Coturnix japonica: one gene and its partners. The protein of the gene in region 2 purifies or fractionates together with the protein of the main gene of each other region. This does not show direct contact. Links are inferred from orthologs where the notes say so. Each region holds a gene or a part of one and is shown on either strand. Other genes may lie near its edges. The genes, in order: RPS7, TSR1 and RIOK2.

Region 1 (3,730 bases), on a different chromosome or scaffold from region 2:
CAGCTCTCGAACTAGCCGCACCTGAATCTTCTGGAAAGATTTCAGCTGAGGAACTGGTACGAAGATAATGATGGCTTTCCTGCCACCACCTACTTCAATTTCCTGAAAGAGAAGTAGAAACTAAACATCACCTAGGGATTGAGAAGGAACATTCACTTTGATCATCAATACCCTGAATAGGGACATTTGAAATCCTTACTTACAACTTTCTAAGAAATGAGCACCAGGAGGTACCTATTTTAACACATTTATGAACAAGAATTAAACAGAAAAACCTCTGTCAGAGCATTTGTTGTAAGTATATGCATTACAGCAAAACAAGATGAAACTCATGAGTGAGAATCCTAACCATACTGAATGCTTACCATCACACCTGAAACGTTACCCACATGCTGATACCAAGTTTCTAATGCAGACAAAGATTACAGCAATAACTGCTGGGTTTTGAGCAACCACTTCATGGCATCACCTTCTATCCACTATTTACCAAGGCATGCATCACTACTCAAAACACTTCCTCTTCACCTCCAATAAACAGGCTTGCATCATACCTACAGATTATTCTTCTCCTTGTATTTTTTTTCTTCAGCAGTTATTCAAAACGTAAGGAAATTGCAGAAGTTTACAAGGCACTTACCCCTGTGGTTAGGTCCATAGGAGATGCTCATTCTCCAACAGAGCAGAAAGCTGAGTTGTGTTTCACCAGCTATGCTCCCACATAAGTTAATTCAAATGCCCACAAAAGTGTCACCATAAGTAACACCACGTAGCTATAGTAGGCTTAGTAAATTAAAACATTGTTTAAAAACTCACTACAGACAGTGTGCACTGGACTTCAGCAGCAGAACAGATCTTCTGAAGGGCCCCTTCAGTGAAGTGAACTTATATACCAAGCTGACCCCTGCATTCTCACACCCTAACTCAGCTCTGTGATCTTTCTGCCTTTACACCTACATGTATGTCAGTGGGCTTGGGCAAGAACAAAAAAGCACCCTGCTTAACTCTGGCTACAGCAATCAGCCTCAGAAGTCCTATCCAGTCTCCTTGCCTGACAAATTCTATAGATTTTTTTCCTACTCTACGGATTCAGTTGGCTCTACAAACTAAACTTTAAACAAAACCAACCCACATCACATCATCAAGTCAGTCAACTTCAATGACCCACCACTGATCCATTGTTTGTTGTCTAAAACAGCATTTACTATAAGCTAACTCTACCAGAATTATTACTGTTTATGCCCCTGACCAACACGAGATATGTCAAACATACCTACTAAGCAAATATCCACACAAAAAAGCCATTTTCAGACCCCAAGTCCAGGTTGCAGAAACACAAGTTACTCATTCTAAACATGCTTACTTGAATGACAGTTTGACGTTTTAAGTTCTAGTGACTTTTCAAACCGACTCCTAAACAAGAAGCTATTACAGAATGCTCTGCATTGATAGCAAGTATAAGATATACTACAACAGCACATAGTGAAACAACCATAGCACGATAACATCTGCAAAAATGAACAGAGAGCAAGCTGCATAGCAATACTTTGCCAAGAACACCTGGCCTACCTTAGCTGCTGTGATGTTCAACTCCCGCAGCTGAGCCTTTAAGTCAGAGTTCATCTCCAACTCCAGGAGAGCCTAAAAAAAAAGGAAAGTTGCAGAAAAATCCATTCAGTTCAATTCATAAATAACCCTTGAGAATAAAGCACAATCAGTGACGTAGATGTTCTTTCCCTGCAGGCCACGCTGACATATGCAACAACACTCAACTGGTGGGAAACATGATCTAGTGGATGACAACCCTGCCCCTGGCAGGGGGGTGGAACAGAATGGGCTTTAAGGTCCCCTTCAACCCAAGCCATTCTACAACATCCCATAATTCCAAGAACACAAGGCAGACTAACAGGGTAGTAAGAAAAGAAATGCATTTAGAAAGCAGCAGCCTTAAAGTTTAAGCTTTAGAGAGTTGTCAACACACTAATTTGACAACCCGTACAGGGTTACTGAACAACAGAAGGAAAACACACATACCTGGGATATACCAGACTCGAACTCATCTGGCTTTTCACCATTAGGCTTCACAATCTTTGCACTTGAGCTGAACATGGCCTTTCTGCAATGCAAAAGAACGTCTCAATTGCCACTGGGAACGTGTCCACCACTACAAGTAGAGTAACGTGCTGGATTTCAACCACACGCTTTAAAACGAAATCAAGGACAATCTCAGGGGCTGTGCAAACCCCTCACAACACTGCAGGGTAAGCTGACCGCTGCAAGGCCAAAACCTGACGGGTAAGGAGGGACGGGTAGAGCACACTGCGGCACCCGCGTGTGCTCTACGCTCCAGCAAGATCCCAAGAGCGCTCACGGAGCCCACGCGCCAGCAAGTAAGGCGTCCTTCCCGGCACCGAGGATCCGCACCTCAGCCCCAGCCCCAGCCCCCCGCTCCAGCCCCGCGCCCCGCCGCTCCGCCGTCACGGCCTCCTCCAGGGCGCGACCAGAGCAGGGAGGCGGAGAACCCCGCCAGTTTCCTTCCCCAAGATCCAAGAGCCCCGCGACCATCGGGCCTCAGGCAGGCGCTAATCCGAAGCATCCCCCTCCGACGAGGCCCAGGGAGCCGCCGCTGGGCAGCCTGAGCCGTATTGCCCCGGCGGCTGGGGAAAAACAAGCACCGGCAACCAGGCCCCAGAGAGGCCCGAGCTCCTACCTCGCTCAGCGCCGGCCTAGGAAGAGGGAGAGCTCTCGCGAGAGCGCCTCAGATCGCGGCCCGGGAGGCGCTCGCAACGCCCACCGCGAGGTGAAGCCGAAGTAGGAAGTAGGGCAGAGAGAATCGTTCGGAGCAATGCTGATTCTGGATGGCTTCCGGCACCGTGATGCCACAAAGGGCTCTCTCTCCAAGTACTGGCGTGGCGCCTGCTGATGAGGTCATCATCAGCTGCTGGACGGCGAGGAAAGGGGGGAGGCTGGGGATTGGGCTCGGTCACAGGGCGGCCATGGTTGGAAGGGAGCTCAGTCAGCATGCCCCGTCCTTGGAGGTGTTCAAGGCCAGGTTGGACGGGGCCCTGGGCAACCTGATCTAGTAAAGGTGTATGTTTGGTGGCACTGCCAGGCAGGAGGGTTGGAACTACATGATCCTTCTGTGGGAATCAAATGTTGTTTCTGCATTTAGAATAAGATAAGAATATTTTATTTCAAGGTCTCATTATATAAGTAAAGGAATTTGTAGTTATTAGGTAGAAATCACAGCTACAAAGACTGCAGCTCCTGTCTGTCCAGCTGTCTGAAATAGACACTACTGGTTTTTGGTGCTGGACAAATAAGACCTGAGTAATAAAGGATCCAAAGAGGAGAAGTTAAAATAATTAACAATATGCCTGTATAAACTAGCAACAATGTATGTATTAATGTTTTATTGTACAAAAATACAAGTCGTGACATACCTAAGGATGTGCCTGAAGAGATATCGGGAAGGACTGGAATCTTTGTTTAACAAAGGCATCTGGGACAAAATGGAAGAAGCTTTGAAGGGAATCAACATATCAATACGATAAGAGTACCGAGACATCTTGGAAACAGAAACAGCAGGATGGCGACTGACAAGATAGCAAGTGAACTAACAAATTTCAGAATGTAATTAACAAATGCAAACCTCGGGTAAAATTGTAACTTGTAATACCCAACCAAAGGGGAGAGGGGAGGGGAAAACATATGGGAGAAAAGGTATAAAAAC
Region 2 (3,733 bases):
GAATTAATTCCTAATGCTTAAACAGTGTTTATTTGTCACCGGTCTCTTAATTTTGTTACTTCTTTCCTGTCATGTAGGACGTGATCTACGTTGCTTTTACAGTTAGAAGGTCTAGACAGCTTGTTTTAGGAGTAGGTAAGGATTGGTAGAGAGCAGCTCTTGGTTGACCCTCCCTCACAAACCGTTGTGCTGCTTTCTTTGCAGGAGAAAAGAAGGTGATAACACAGTGCTGGGGAGGGTCACGGCTCATTTCTTTTCTCCCCCTTTGCAATCATTCAGTGCACAACAGAGCAACAGCTGCTCTGCTTCCCTCGACTTACTGACTTCATTCCTGGCAATTGCAACACTAGTGTAAATATTTAACCTTTAATGGCTTACCTGCTGGTGTTCTGGGGGGCGGTGTGGGCCTAATGCTTCCAATAGCAAGGGCAGTCGTGGTTCTTAAAGAGATGGTGGGTATGGCAGAGCCTCGGCTGTGCCGGTCAGTGCATAGTGCTGCCTATAGCACACAGGGCTGCAATGGGAGCACGGTGATGCTGCCCAGTGTGTGTATGGAGCAGCCCTAGGCCTGGCTTTGGGCCTCCTGGCTTTGGGCTCCTCCTTCTCAGACCCGGCTCTCCTGATGGGACTTTCCTGTGTAAATATCTGTATAAAGAACTCAATTAAGCGCTGAAGGAACGGCTGGGCGTCCTGCCTGTCATTTCCCCCTCGGGAGCACGGCAGGAGCTCCGCCATACTGTGAGGCCTTTCCCTTTCGGCCGCCATCTTGAATACGATCTCCGCTTTCCCGCCTACGCTCCCACGCACGTCGCCGGAAGTGACGCAAGACGCACGAGCGGAAGTGGTGGCAGCGTGAAGGCAGCATGGTGGCGGCCGGCGCGCACCGGGCCGGTCCTTTAAAACAACAAAACAAGGCCCATAAGGGCGGGAAGCACCACGGGACGGCACAGCGCCGGGCGGGAGGTGAGGAGGGGGCGGCCCGGAGCCTCACTACACCGGGTCCCCATTGTCCTTATCGCCACCTGACCGCCATCTTTCCACAGGCCGAGTCGCTGTCAAGGCCCTGCCGCACCGACGGCGCCGCGATCTGAGCAGGGTGGACAGGCGGCACCAGGCGCTGCAGCTCCGCAGGAAACGCAAGGAGGAGGTGAGGGGTCCGGGCATGGGGGGGTGGCATGGGGGGGAGCTGTTGGACCTGAGAGAGGGGTGGTCAGCAGGGACAGGGAGCTGATCGTCCATCTCTACTCGGCTCTTGTGAGGCCCCATCTGTTGTACTGTGTCCAGGTGTGGAGCCCTCAGTACAAAACAGACATGGAGATTTGGGAAAGGGTCCAGAGGAGGGACAGGAAGATGATCAGGGGCTGGAGCACCTCCCCTATGAGGACAGGCTGAGGGAGTTGGGTTTGTTCAGCCTGGGGAAGAGAAGGTTGTGGGGTGACCTCATTGCAGCCTTTCAATACCTGAAGGGAACCTATAACCAGGAGGGGAGTAAACTCTTCGAATAGGCTGATAATAGCAGGACACGGGGAAATGGTTTTAAGTTAAAAGAGGGAAGATTTAGGTTGGATGTCAGGGGGAAGTTCTTCACTAGGAGAGTGGTGAGGCCCTGGAACAGGCTGCACAGGGAAGTTGTGGATGCCCCGTCCTTGGAGGTGTTCAAGGCCAGGTTGGACGGGGCCCTGGGCAACCTGATCTAGTAAAGGTGTATGTTTGGTGGCCCTGCCAGGCAGGGGGTTGGAACTACATGATCCTTGAGGTCCCTTCCAACCCGGCTCATTCTGTGATTCTGTGAAATCACAAGGTTTATATACATTTTCTTCAGGATTGCTTCGTCCTCTTTTGTTATGTTTCCTTGGTTACAATTAGGTAAGACTATCCCACAAAGACCTAAGGAAATGTGCTGTACATTCTTCTCCTCCTTCGATCTGTGACGTTACTGGATGTTCCTGTTAGAGGCCCCCTTTCTGTTTTCTATTCATTTTCTCTCATCTAAACCTGATTTTTAACATACATTGTGCTTTGTTCCTAAGCAAGATTTATTACTTAGATCCGTGCTCGGGTTCATAAGAAACACAACTTGCATTCCTAGATACGTGAGAAACACAGACTAGGCCTAACTACGAGCCTTAGCATGACTACTGCTCCTATTATTTAAGGCACACTGTAACAATAGGGCGGAGCTGTGGGGTTGCAGTCTTGATCTAGGGTGTGGGACAGGAGCTGGGCTATGGATGGTTTTCACGCCATGGATCTTTTCTTATAGGTGCTGGCAGAAAAGCGGAGCTTGGGCAGCAGGGATGGGCCCCCACACCTCGTGGTGGCGGTGCCGCTGCACAGCAGGGCTGCAGCACACGATGCCCTCCGGCTGCTGCAGAGCCAAGACTCGGTCATTGTCCATATGGATGAGGGAAAAGCCGGCAGCTTTGCTGTCCTCTGTCCCCGGCTCAAGCAGCGCTGGAGGTTTGTGACGGCGCAGGCAGGTGAGGAAGCACTGTTTTAATTGGTCTGAGTTCTGTACCCCCAGCAGCCCCATTAATTGAGGTGTTTTGCTTGCAGGGGATCTGCATGCCGTCATGGATCTAGCGAAAGTTGCCGACTCCCTCCTTTTTATCTTGGATCCTGTGGATGGTTGGGACAGCACAGGGGAGCACTGTCTCTCCTGCCTTTTTGCTCAGGGGCTGCCTAGTTACGGTGAGATGAGAATTCAGAGCTTCTGGTGGGCTACAGGTTGAGTGGGGTGATTGGGGAGGGGGGGCTTATTGTTGCAATTAATAGATACTCTGTATGTATGTTAATAAGTAATCATAGGCCTTTGGGCTGTTCTGAGAACAGGTCAGATAAATTCTATCATATTATTTGACTCTCCTGGTAGGGCAATGCTGGAGTTCTAGGTTTAAGTCTCAGATATATGGCGGTTACTAGTATTGCATTGGTTGTCCAATTGTGCAGAGCAAAGGGAGTGAGATATTTTCTTGCTAAGTTCAGTTCCCAGATCCTTATTTCTTTGGTCACTTTAAGTCTTAAAATCTTATGTCTAAAGACACATTTTCTGTCTTGATTTTTATTTATTATTTTTTAAATGGGTGAAACCACTTTTGTAGCTTGTCTTGTCAGTCTGGTTTTTGGTTATTTGAGTTGCAGGCACTGAAGTTAACGTTAATGCTTTATGAAAGGGGTATAAAGAGGTTTGGGCTCTGACGGGGATCTGTTCTGTGTCCCTTCTAGCTGTTGCTGTCCCAGGGGGAACTGACCTGCCACCAAAGAAGCGGATAGATGCCAAGAAGAAACTCACCAAAGCTATGGAGAAGTGGTTTCCAGAAGTCAAGCTCTTTCCCCTAAACACAGAGCAGGAGTCCTCAGTGCTGCTGAGGCACCTTGCTACCCAGAAGCAGCGTCATCTTGCTTTTCGAGACAGGCGGGCTCACCTGCTTGCTTATGCTGCTGAATTTGTGCCCAGTCAGGAGAGTGACCAGGTTGGGACCTTGAAGGTGTCTGGCTTTGTCCGAGGACAGACCCTCAATGTGAACAGCTTGGTACATATTGTGGGGCATGGAGACTTCCAGATGAGCCAGGTGGATGCCCCACCTGACCCTCTCTCTTTGAATCCCAGAGTGGTTAAAGGAAAGAAGAGTCAGGACATGGATGTGCAGGTTTGTGGGGGATCATGGCTTTGCTGTGCCCATTAAAATAGTGTTTCTAAATTTTCACTTAAAGTATGTTTGGTTATGGGTGG
Region 3 (3,699 bases), on a different chromosome or scaffold from region 2:
TGCATAATTTAAGTCTGATAGGAAAACAAGCATAAATTCTATCAGTACCACAAATACAAAGTGATGAAAAGATAGTATGAGAAGTATCTTCCAGTCTATTACACCAATTGTTGACACTGTGCAAATGGCCACCTACCTTCATGTAGGCAAACTCCTTCATTGCTGCTAGCCGGGATAAATACAGCCATGACATTTTATGCCTGTGCTTATGGTAGTCACGTTTATTTTTCAGACTGCGAAAAGAAGTTCTTCCAAGCCTATGCAGTTTCATTGCAAACTGTTGCTCATCTTCATTTGCAACAATATAAATATCTAGAAGAGGAATAGCAACACAGATCTATGAAATAATTGGTATCTGACAAGTCCATAATGAAAAAGTATTTCTGGCATAGCAAGGTCTACCACACTTAGTCCAACAGTAAAGAGAGCTACATTTATGTATTGTCTGTTAGTGACATAAGATGGAAAAAATTTTTGTTGAAGAGATAATGGTTCTCCATTAGTAAAAATACTGATGTTATCTGAAACATCTTTCAGACCAAGAGGTAAAAGTAACTGGCATGAAAAACTGAGACAATTCAAGTTCTCTGACTACAGGATCCAACAATCAGGATAGACTGGTATTTCTCCAGGCCACCTGCACAGTGTGGGACTATAAACTTCCCTAACAAGGAAACACAGTTGTATGTCAAGCTCCTGTGTTCTTAATAACATGCTGGAAAAGCTGCCTACTCTCCACTGACTGGAAGCAAATCCCAAGGGACCAACCTCTTGATTTTAACAACTAGTTCATATTTCATTTCTACCATTTGTCTACAACAACTCTCTTTCTTCAATGATGAGCGAGACAGGCTGTGCCAAATTACAGCCTACGTGAAAGTGAAACCAAGACAGCAATCCAATAGTTTTGATTGTATTTTACGTTATTTTATTTTATGGGTGGAACATAAAAATTGAAGTTACCTTTTTAATAAAATAGTTCAAAATTATTCACAAAGTACGAGACATTTAGCATCTGTCAGCAAATACCTTTTTAAGCGATGAATCAAAATTTGGACAAAATAGTCAAACTGGAACAATGCTCTTACTAATTAAAAGATAAATAAATCAGATGCAGTCAAAAGCCTCATGAAAGGAGCCACAGATCTTGGTGTGTGACAGTTTAATGCTATGACTATCCAGAGATACATTTTCCAAGTTCCTATCAAAATACAAGCAAAAATACTGACATGCTTCCTTCAATAAATAAACAAATAAAAATTACATAGTTTTTTTTAATTACCTGATTCTTTGCCAACACCCATCTGGTTTCCAACAGAACTGATGACTTGCCGGGAAGACAGAGTTTTCAAGGCAAGGTAATCATATCCTGCATTAGTTAACCGATAGCCCTGGACCGCTAAATAAAAACAAATTATAAAACATTTCATTCCTTGTTACGGACACAGTACCTTAAAAAAACAACAACAAAATCCAGTTTTAAGTCTAGTTTCTTGTTCCAGCTTATGGTATAAAACACTCAAGTACTACATTTCCTCTTGGCAAGTATCAGCCAAATTTGATGGAACATTTAAATTCCTGCAACTCTTAGAAAAGCTAACTGTATAAAAGATTAAAAGCCGTATTATCAACTCCTCAATGGCACAAGCAGTTATGATACTCCAAATGGCATAGAAATGGCATTACTTTTGAAGATAATTACCTAGGAGATGTAGTAGGGATTCAGGATTGTTGTGAGGCTCTAAATCAACACTTAAAATGCTGAAGAATGGAGAAAAAAAAAGGGAAGAAATTTCATGCAAACTCAAAAGTGGGATGCAACTACAAGGTTGAAGGAGATGGGCAGGGGCTTGCTACTTGACATGTGGGAAGGACTAAAACTACTTCAGTAACTGTTTCTACTGAGGTGCAGGTGATATGACTGTCTTTTCCAGTTTGTGCACTATGATAAAATCGTAACACGTTTGGGTTGATTTCTGCATGCACCGGAATAATACCTTAACCAACAGGTATTTCATATTTTCATCAATTTTGTAATAGAGCCAAGGAGATTTAACTGCTCTCCTTTCCTCTTTCCTGCCTATGAGCTCTACTGGAATCAGCAGTTGAGCAGACAGCAATATCATTTATTGCTGAACAAATCCAAGCTCCCAGGCTATACCCCACAGAAAATGAGGTTAGCAAGTGGTCCAGATGTCTATGTGTGCCAAGCAATGGTACTACAGCATGAGGAAGGTGAGAGAAGGAGCCCAACACATAAACCAAACTCACTTTTGGTTCGTTCATAAGCCAGGAGCCTGTGTTTCGCCAGCTCTCTCAAAATTTTGTTACAGCCACCATGTTTCAGGCTTGCAATAGAAGCAATCAAGCTGGCAGGAACTATTTCATGGTTCTTCATTCCCATTTCCACCTAAAAGGGCAAATGAAAAACAGGTCTGTTAGCCAGTGTTCAACAGCTGAATAACATCAGATCCTCCTCGAGCCCAAACCACTTCTCTCAGGTGAATAACTTATTTAACTGCTCATGTGTATACAGAATCTGGAAGGGACCCAAGGATCATGTAGTTCCAACCCCCCTGCCTGGCAGGGCCACCAAAACACACGCCTTTACTAGATCAGTTGCCCAGGGCCCCGTCCAACCTGGTCTTGAACACCTCCAAGGACGGGGCATCCACAACCTCCCTGGGCAGCCTGTTCCAGGGCCTAACCACTCCCCTAGTGAAGAACTTCCCCCTAATACACACTATTACCTTCACAGCCGCCAGTCGAGCAGCCTGTGACCAGACGCCCCCCCCCTGCCCCGCTCACCGCGGTGAGGACTCGGAAGTGCTCCCTGGTCAGGTACCGCAGCATCACCACGTTCAGTTTCCCCATGGCGGCTCCTGCTCAGCCCCGTCCGCGCACAACACGACCCACACACCGCTGCGCATGCGCAATCAGATTTCCCCAGCGAAAACGCAATCCCGACTACACGCATGCGCACGAGCCGCCTGAGGCTGTGAGTCAGGGGTGCGCTGAATGCCGCGGGTTCGAATCCCGGGTTCGGCTGTTGGGGTGGGGAAGGGCAGCTTATCCCGTGGGCTGCTTTTGTTGCCCTAAGGAGGACTCGGGCTAAAAGAGATGAAAGCGCATAAAGACACCATTCCTGCCCCGTGCTGGGATCCTAGATTATTTTATCAAGATTTTTAAAAGGCAAAATGACAGAAAAACTGTTTGCTGGGAAGGCTGGAATATTATTTCCCCCCTCCAAACACTCCAAAGGAGAGCAGGCAGTCTAAACTCGTGCTTACTAAACGGGAAATGATGCTACTGCATACGTAGCACTGTTCTGTATTGTATACTACCTTGCAATGATGAGAGCATAGTTTATTCTGTAAAATCAATGACAGATTTGTTGTCCTGCCATTGTTTTTGTAGAAGGACATCAGTGAGTGTGTGATTAAATTATTTCTGCCTTTCAATTTATAACAATGCTTTATAAGAAAGTCTATTAATTGGAATGTGTCTGAGTAAGAAGCAATGGTTTTAAGCTAAAATAGTGTACATTTAGACTAGATATACGTAAGAACTTTTTCACAGTGAGGGTGGTGAAACACTGCAATAGGTTGCCCAGGGAAGTTGTGGCCTTTGGAAGTCAAGTTGGGCAGGGTTTTGAGCAAAGCGATGTAGTGAAAGATGTCCTTACCCACAGCATAGGGG

The links.
Region 1: the proteins of TSR1 (region 2) and RPS7 purify together in Homo sapiens (co-immunoprecipitation; 4 studies listed by BioGRID and IntAct, with this or other methods). This does not show direct contact. The link is inferred for Coturnix japonica from reciprocal best matches to the Homo sapiens genes TSR1 and RPS7.
Region 3: the proteins of TSR1 (region 2) and RIOK2 fractionate together in Homo sapiens (co-fractionation; 3 studies listed by BioGRID and IntAct, with this or other methods). This does not show direct contact. The link is inferred for Coturnix japonica from reciprocal best matches to the Homo sapiens genes TSR1 and RIOK2.

The regions. Positions count from the first base shown.
Region 1 is NC_029518.1:85,526,551-85,530,280, reverse strand, and holds the start of RPS7 (40S ribosomal protein S7), read right to left. Parts: upstream 2,861-3,730; 5' UTR 2,708-2,860; intron 2,114-2,707; 5' UTR 2,107-2,113; coding exon 2,032-2,106; intron 1,639-2,031; coding exon 1,567-1,638; intron 103-1,566; coding exon 1-102.
Region 2 is NC_029534.1:4,414,333-4,418,065, reverse strand, and holds the start of TSR1 (pre-rRNA-processing protein TSR1 homolog), read left to right. Parts: upstream 1-809; 5' UTR 810-863; coding exon 864-963; intron 964-1,043; coding exon 1,044-1,147; intron 1,148-2,263; coding exon 2,264-2,480; intron 2,481-2,556; coding exon 2,557-2,691; intron 2,692-3,225; coding exon 3,226-3,650; intron 3,651-3,733. UniProt on the Homo sapiens protein: Required during maturation of the 40S ribosomal subunit in the nucleolus.
Region 3 is NC_029547.1:45,706,415-45,710,113, reverse strand, and holds the start of RIOK2 (serine/threonine-protein kinase RIO2), read right to left. Parts: upstream 2,939-3,699; 5' UTR 2,875-2,938; coding exon 2,809-2,874; intron 2,411-2,808; coding exon 2,272-2,410; intron 1,400-2,271; coding exon 1,283-1,399; intron 313-1,282; coding exon 137-312; intron 1-136. UniProt on the Homo sapiens protein: Serine/threonine-protein kinase involved in the final steps of cytoplasmic maturation of the 40S ribosomal subunit. Involved in export of the 40S pre-ribosome particles (pre-40S) from the nucleus to the cytoplasm.